Linked DNA regions of Canis lupus familiaris. The protein of the gene in region 1 purifies or fractionates together with the protein of each later gene. This does not show direct contact. Links are inferred from orthologs where the notes say so. Each region holds a gene or a part of one and is shown on either strand. Other genes may lie near its edges.

The links.
Region 2: the proteins of ERBB4 (region 1) and STAT5A purify together in Homo sapiens (affinity purification with western blotting; 3 studies listed by BioGRID, with this or other methods). This does not show direct contact. The link is inferred for Canis lupus familiaris from reciprocal best matches to the Homo sapiens genes ERBB4 and STAT5A.

The regions. Positions count from the first base shown.
Region 1 is NC_049258.1:19,996,415-20,001,003, reverse strand, and holds the start of ERBB4 (receptor tyrosine-protein kinase erbB-4), read left to right. Parts: upstream 1-1,741; 5' UTR 1,742-1,901; coding exon 1,902-1,983; intron 1,984-4,589. UniProt on the Homo sapiens protein: Tyrosine-protein kinase that plays an essential role as cell surface receptor for neuregulins and EGF family members and regulates development of the heart, the central nervous system and the mammary gland, gene transcription, cell proliferation, differentiation, migration and apoptosis.
Region 2 is NC_049230.1:20,492,579-20,495,846, reverse strand, and holds part of STAT5A (signal transducer and activator of transcription 5A), read left to right. Parts: intron 1-166; coding exon 167-373; intron 374-966; coding exon 967-1,061; intron 1,062-1,156; coding exon 1,157-1,287; intron 1,288-1,736; coding exon 1,737-1,892; intron 1,893-2,565; coding exon 2,566-2,617; intron 2,618-2,928; coding exon 2,929-3,036; intron 3,037-3,268. UniProt on the Homo sapiens protein: Carries out a dual function: signal transduction and activation of transcription. Mediates cellular responses to the cytokine KITLG/SCF and other growth factors. Mediates cellular responses to ERBB4.

The DNA.
Region 1 (4,589 bases):
TGATTTTTAAGCTCCCCTGATACTTTTTATTTATATATTTTCTGCTTCTGGAGAAATATAAAAAGTAAAGTAATCCATACATAGAATGCCTGTGCAAATAGCAAACCAATAACCTACTACCCCCAGGAGGTTCTGGCCTCTGCCCAGGGTACCGTTTCAGAGCTGTAAAAGGCAAGGGATATGTACACTGATATGACCCAAATCCAGGATATTTTTAATCAAGAAAGGCACAGAAACTCCTATAGTTAGGGATATGGGGACTGGGGAGTGTGGACTCGCAGAAGGTACCTAAAGTTGGGTCTACTGTAGCATAAGCCTAATAATCATTTGTGTTGGCCATGTCCTGGTATGGCCTTAAGTTCTTTCACAGTAACAGCTGCGGAGTGAGAGAGTTTCTAGCCCTTTAGAACCACATTTATACCTTTGGACGAGAATCTGTTTAATGAGAATGAACCCCATACAAAGTTGTCCCAAGTCCAAGGAAAAGGTGAAAAAAGACTTACGAGGTCTGAAAAGCAAAGGCTGTAGCTATATAAATGCCGTCAGTTCGGCAGGGTGGGAATTGTGGGAGGGATGGCATAGTTGGAAAAACGGGTGATTGTGTTCCCAGGACCACCTAACCGGCAGAGCCTCCCAGCTCCCGAACCACCTTTTTAACTACTTTCTGAGTGTGCAGCAGCATTAGAGGTTGGAGAAGGGTGAAGGCTTTATGCCCGAAGCAACGTTTTCTTTTCTTCTATTTCCAGCTCCAGTCTGTGGATGAGCACTGTGTGTGGGGCAGTAGAGAAAACGGGGACTTTCTGGTTTAAGGAAAAGAAAAAAAAAAAAAATCTGTGAGCAACCCTGCGGTGGTCTCCGCGCTCGCAAGCCGCTGTCTAGGGCCTCGGCGTCGGTCGGCTGGGTCGGGCGAGCCCTTTAAATCCAGCTCCCCCGCCCCCCGCAGCACGCGCCCGCTCCCAGACAGGTGTTTTCCCAACTCCTGAGACTGAGGATTTTGGGGAGAGTACGAGCCAATAAGATTCCCCTCTGGGGGGTGGGGGGCGGGGAAAAAGGCGGGGCCAGTTGGGTCAGAGCGGGGGCGGGGCTCGCGGCTGAGCCGAGCCAGCCCGGTTGCGTGGAGGCTTGTTTTATCCGCCCCCCCTCCACCTTTTTTTTTTTTTTTTTCCCCCCTCCCGGAGTCTTATTAATTTCTCGGTGGGGCTGCAGCTGGAGACCGCGGAGCGTTGGAAATGACGCTCGGAGCTTTAATTACCGCAGCCGCCGGACAAGTGTGAGGAAAGCTGACGGGAAAAAGAAGGACAGGATCGGGGGAGAAGCGAGAAGCGCCCTCCCCTCGCCCCCCCCCCCCCCCCCGCCCTCGTCCTCCCATCCCCTCCCAGTTGGGACTGGAGGTGCAAGGAAACTGAAAAGGGAGCCCAACATAGCCCGGCTGCGGGGAGAGGCCGGAAACCTACCGCCTCTTTGCAATCAACTTTTTTTGGAAAGCCTTTTCCCCCCTTCCTTTTTATTGTTGACCAACCAGTGCGAGAAAGTGAGGAGGGAGCGAGGACGCGGAGGCTCGCACGGGGGAAGCGCTGCCCAGTCCGGCCCCGAGCGGCACGCGCACACCCTCGGGCGCACGGCCCCGCGCACACCGGCGCGCACGCCCCTCCTCGGGCCCCGGCCCCGGCCCCGGCCCCGGCTCCCCGCGCCCCCGCACCCCGGCCCCGGCCCCGCCGACTCGGACTCGGACTCGGACTCGGACTCGGACTCGCACGCGCACTCGCCCTCGGCGGCTCCAGCTGGGAGCCGGTGCACCGCGCCCCGGGCGCGCCGGACTCGGGGCCCTCCTCCGCGTGCCCGACAGGGGAGATGCCATTTGGACATGTAATTGTCAGCTCGGGATCTGAGACTTGCAGAAAATGAAGCTGGCGGCAGGACCGTGGGTCTGGGTGAGCCTTCTGCTGGCAGCGGGGACCGTCCAGCCCAACGCCTCCCAGTCAGGTGGGTGTCCGGGGCTCCGCGCCCCCCGCGCCCCCCGCGCCCCTCCGGCCTCCTCCTCCTCGGGCTTGGCTTCCCTTCCTCCCTCCGTCTGTCCGTCCCCAAACTTAGCCTTTTTCGTGTACCTGCGTTTCACTTACCGTGAAATGTCACTCTGCGACCCTGTCCCCCCTCCCTTTTCCCCCCTTCCTTTCTCCCCGACCCCCTTCTTTCTTTCTTTCTTTCTTTCTCCCGCGTTTTCGGGGGAGCCTAAAAGCGGGATCTCTGCGGGTCCTGCCGGTTGTGCGGGCCGCGGGACACGCGGCTCCCGAGGCTCCCGAGTTGGACGGTCCCGCCGTGCGGGCGCCCCGAGAGCGAACGCCTGGCACCGGCGCGCGGGGCTCCGCAGGGGCTGTCCCCGAGCCGGCGGGCGGCGCACCTGTGCGGCCGCGGGTCCCTCCCCGCTGGGGCGGCCGCCAGCCTGCGCGCCGCCGACTCGACGGAGCTCGCTGGCCCGCGGGCTCTCTCTAAAGAAAAGGGGGGGGGCAGGGAAGGGGTTTGACACCCTGAGCGGGAGCCCGGCCCTGCCGTCGTCGCCCGGCTTGGCTCCGGGAAGAGTTCTTCCTGTAGTTCAACTTCTATTGGCCCGAGTCCCTCCAACTTCGCTGTTTACTGCCCGGCGCGGCTGCCGAGCCGACCCGGGGCGCGACCCGGTCCACCCCGAGGCGGGAGCGACGGCGCCGCCACCGCCTCCGCCTCCGCCACCGCCACCGCCACCGCCTGCGAGAAGGCGCGAGCCCGGGCACCTGGACGGGCCCAGGCCGACCGCCCCCGAGGCCCGGGGTGGGCTGGCGTCCGCGGCGGCCAGGGCCACGCACGGCACCTGCAGGGCGAGGCTGCTCAAAGTTTTTGACACTTGAGTTTCCTGGGGATGAAAGCGGGGCGGGAAAGGACGGAGGCCGGTGGGTCTGATGCCGCCAAAGGGGGCCTTTTGCAGAGCGGGGGGGATCTCCGGAGCCACCCCGGGCTGGTGGCGGGAGCGTGGGAGGCAGCTGGGAGGGTGAAGCCCCCCGGGAGCGCCCGGGAGCGGGGCTCGGGCCGCGTCGGGCCCCCGGAGGGCGTCCCCCTGACCTCACCGGGAGCCGCGCGCCGCCTTCCGCGCTCCGCCCCCGCCGCTGCCGCCTTCCCTCCTAGCCTAGTAAATAACAAGTCGCAGGCGCCGAGCCTTTCAGAATGACCTTCGAGTGGCACCAGCGTGCGCCGTTGGTGCTCGCCGTTTGCACCCTCCCGATCCTCGGGAGTCCTTCATGCGCACCGGGTCGCGCGCTCAGCCGCCGCCGGAACCGCACCAGCCCCGACCGCGGATTCCAGGCGGCCTCTTAGATACGTGCCTTTTACCTCCTCCCTCCGCACTCCGAGTCCCTTCGTATTTTCCCTCAATGGGTCGATTATGCACATTGACCCATTCAAAAGCGTGTGCGACCGACACGCAGACTTAGGCGAGAGGGATTTCTCCGAGTCCGAGGCAGCCCACTGGGGGCTGTCGGTGCAGCCTCGGCCGCTGGGGGACCCGGCTCCGAGTGCGCAGCAACTCGGTATTAACTGTGTGGCTCAGGGGTGAGCTATGCCGAAAAGCCCTTTTCAGAATTTCTGCAAAGAATGCAATCCAAATTAGTTCTGCAGCTGTCCCCTTCCTCGTCTCCGGCGACACCGCCTCGCGCCCTCGCTGGTCTCTTCTCGCTTCCCCCCGCGAATGGTCAGACCCACAAGTGAGCCCCTGTAGAGCGCGGGGATTAGCGTGCCATTGTTGTTCTGTGTGTGACTCTGCACTTGAAATTCTAGGGGCACAAAGGCGAGCCTCACTTGTTCAAAACACAGAGTGATCCAGATGAAAGGGCCGCACAAAGAAAAGCTCTCGGTGCATCCCTGGTACAATTGCAACACGCATGCTAAGGTGATCCACTGGGAACTGTAAATGCCCCTGGGGACTTCTTTCTTCACCCTATTCCCCTCCTCACCCCCCCCCCCCCGCCCCCACCACCCCTGCCGCACCTGGCAGGGAAAGTTCAGCTGGTTTTAATACAGTGCTTTCACGAAACCAAGTTACTGTGTGGAGTGTGAGTGAGGCTGTGTGTGTCTGTGTCTGTGTCCGTGGGGCTGTCTGTTCCCAAGTAAATACATACTGCGTGTCTCCCCTCTCGCGGTTAGCAGTCAGTAGCAGTTTGGAGGAGTTTGTTTTGGTCCAAATGAGAAATTAAGTGCGGATAAGTAAACTAAGCTGCCAGAGGGCGACAAGATGTTGAGTGAATTGCTTTTAGATGAAACAAATTAAGGAAACGAGGGAAGACAATCTGCTTCTCGCATTATTAGACACGCTTGGAGTTCAGGGGAAAGTGGCATATTTTTGAAATGCTAATTTCTTAAGCAGAAGGAATGCACCTTATTTACTGCTCTATGTGAACAGAATAAAGATATGGGTGGAGGGAGGATTCTGTTGTATAGATCTAAGATATTTATTAAAATAATTATAATGGGAAAGGACCTGTTTTTATTTTTTCTTCTCTTGCTTGGGAAAAAAATCAGCTTTAGAGAAAACAATTTTTAAATATGTCTCAGGACTTTGTCTCATT
Region 2 (3,268 bases), on another chromosome or scaffold:
ACCCCTCTGCCCCTGCCACCCTGCCTTTCTTTCTCTCGTGTTTGTGTCTCCTTTTCTGGATCTTTCTTAGTCCTGTCTCGAGTGGTATCTGTGTATCTGAGTGTGTGTATGTGTGTGTGTGTGTGTGTGTGTGTGTGTGTATAAATATTTCTTCTTTCCCTCTCAGGGCAGGGTGCCATTCGCCGTGCCTGACAAAGTGCTGTGGCCACAGCTGTGTGAGGCGCTCAACATGAAATTCAAGGCCGAAGTGCAGAGTAACCGGGGCCTGACCAAGGAGAACCTCGTGTTCCTGGCGCAGAAACTGTTCAACAGCAGCAGCAGCCACCTTGAAGACTATAACGGCATGTCGGTGTCCTGGTCCCAGTTCAACAGGGTGAGGGAACTGCCTCCAGCTGCCTGCCTGGGACCACCCATGCCCTGCCAGTCTCTCCCCACCTCACAGACAGGTTACTGGCCTCAGTCAGTGCCCCACCCTCCATCCTGAGTTGCCCTCTCCTATAGCCAGGAGAGACAGGAGCTAATACCCCAGGGAATGGAGGAAGGGGCAATGAGAAACTGCACTAAGCTCTAAGAGCCAGAGCAGGACAGTGGAAGGACCCTGGGGCTGGGAGTCAGGATCCCTGTCCTAGATCTGTTAACTATGGCCAGGCCCTTCACGGCTCTGTGCCTCAGTTTCCCCCCCTGTACCTTATAGTAGAAATGACTTTGGAGGTCTCGTCCAGCTCAGAGAATTCTGGGCACTTCCTACCCCCAACCTCTGTGTCTGAGAGGAGAGTCGGGTTTACTGTCCCATCGCTAGGCTACGGGCTGGGGTTGTGTCCGTTTAGGGACTGCTGAGTGGGGGGCAGGTCAGGTGAGGAATTGAGAGTATGTGTGAGTACAAGAGGGCACTGACTGTTTCCTGGGCCACCTGTGATGACCGGGCCACAAACCCTGACTGACTGAGGGTTTCCTGGGGGCTCTCAGGAGAACTTGCCCGGCTGGAACTATACCTTCTGGCAGTGGTTCGATGGGGTCATGGAAGTGCTGAAGAAGCATCACAAGCCCCATTGGAATGACGGGTGAGGAATGGAGAGGCCCAGGGTTTGGGAGGCCATGGGCTCAGGGAGCAGGAGACGCTGGCCCAGTAGTGACACTCTATGCTTCATGCACCCAGGGCCATCCTAGGTTTTGTGAATAAGCAACAGGCCCATGACCTGCTCATCAACAAGCCCGATGGGACCTTTTTATTGCGCTTTAGCGACTCCGAAATTGGGGGCATCACCATTGCCTGGAAGTTTGACTCTCGTGAGTGCTCTATGTTGCCCACACTCTGGCCCCAGGAACCTGGGCTCCCATGTCCTTGCTCCCCATTCTCCATGACATCTGCATCCTTAAAAGGTTTCACCAGGGGAAAGACTTGACCTGAATTTCCTTTCTACCATCTTCCATTGTGGAGAACCTAAAATCACTGGCCCCGTAGCCTCCAGAGCTGCTGGGGAAGTTCTTCAGCAGTTCTGGGTTCTTCTCCTTTCTCTGCCCTGACCTAGCCTTCCTGGCATCTCCTTGCTTGTTTCGCTGGGTAGAATGGTCCCATGGTCACTTACTCACCCCTATGCCAGAGGAGCACAAGACAAGGGGTGGGCTGTCAGAGCAGGCTAGTAAAACCCCAAATGTCTCTACAAGCCTGATCTCAAACCCCATGCCCCTGCCCCTGAGGGTAGTGGGTGGTGGGAATGAGCCTTTCCCTTTCACAGCTGACCGCAACCTGTGGAACCTGAAGCCGTTCACCACACGCGACTTCTCTATCCGGTCTCTGGCGGACCGGCTGGGGGACCTGAACTATCTCATCTACGTATTTCCCGACCGGCCCAAGGATGAGGTCTTCTCCAAGTATTACACTCCTGTGTTCGGTGTGTCTCACCCTGATGGTCCTGGGCCCTTCCTCAGCCTGTAGACAAAGCTCTTGGGGCCAGGCAGCGGGGACTCCCCAGGAGGAGCCCAGGGTCCATCTCCCCTGTGGACTGGGTCCATGGCTTGGTGCAGAACTCATGGAGGGGGTTTCAGAACTTACAACCGAGAGGGAAATCAAAGCCTCTGACCCAGTTGTCTTCTCTGCAAACCAAAAAGCTGGGTGGATTCTCCCTTCTGCACTCTGGGAAGAAGAGACACCAGTGCTGGCAAAGGAGGCAGGATAATCATACTGGCAGATCACCTGTTACTCCTATCTTAATGGGCTGCTCTCAGGACTCCCACCCTCAAACCTGTCCCCGCTCCCCCCCACCCTGCCAGTTGAGTGTAGGAAGCAAAATGGACAAGTTTTTCATCTTCAACTTGTCCCCAATCCGTTGTTGGGTTTGCTGCTTGGCATTGATTTTACTTCCTTGGCAGAGGTGGGGCGAGGAGCGAGTGAGCAATGGGGTCTGGGTGGCCCTGAGGCCGAGGCCATCAGCAGGTGTTTATAGGAATAGTCTGGGAAATCTCATCCCTGCCAAGGCCCTGGGGGATGGGAATAGGAGGCAGGCTGCATGCGGTGGGCTTGAGCTCCCAGAGACTGGTTCTCATCACTGTCCCCCCTCTTGGCAGCTAAAGCAGTAGACGGATACGTGAAGCCACAGATCAAGCAGGTGGTCCCTGAGTAAGTACCCAGGGTCCAGCTCTGGCCTCCCACTGCCTCTCTCTTCCCCTCAGCACCCCTCACCCCTCACCACTGCCCCTCCCGCTCACAGGCCCTGCGTGGCCCAGCCCTCCCTTCCCCCTGAAACCTGGCTCAGTTTCCCCCTGGAGAGGGAACTGGGCTTAGTATCAGTGGGACCAGTACCCAGGGCCCCAGGCCCACATCTGGAGTCCCAGGCACAGTGGGCACTTTGTCCTTCCATACCCCCTGGGCCCTCCCCAGGTCAGCTGCTGCCGTGAGGCCGCTGAGGCTCTGCCTCGTTTCTCCTGCAGGTTTGTGAGCGCATCTACAGATTCTGCTGGGGCCAGCGCCACCTACATGGACCAGGCCCCCTCCCCGGCCGTGTGCCCCCAGGCTCATTATAACATGTACCCACAAAAGTAGGTTGTGTTCTCACGGGGCTTCTCGGGGAGGACCTGGGCACCTGGCCTCAGGCTGGGCCCCCAGAGGGCTGGTGGGCAAAGGGACCCAGAGCTCCTGTAGGTCTAAGACCACCCAGGCTGGGCTCTAGCATGTACCCAGGTGCAGGGAGGGGGATCAGTCAGTAAAAAGTGTAGAGCATGGGCTACACATAGCAGGCTCCTTGCTCTGAGGCTGACTAGCTATGTGGCC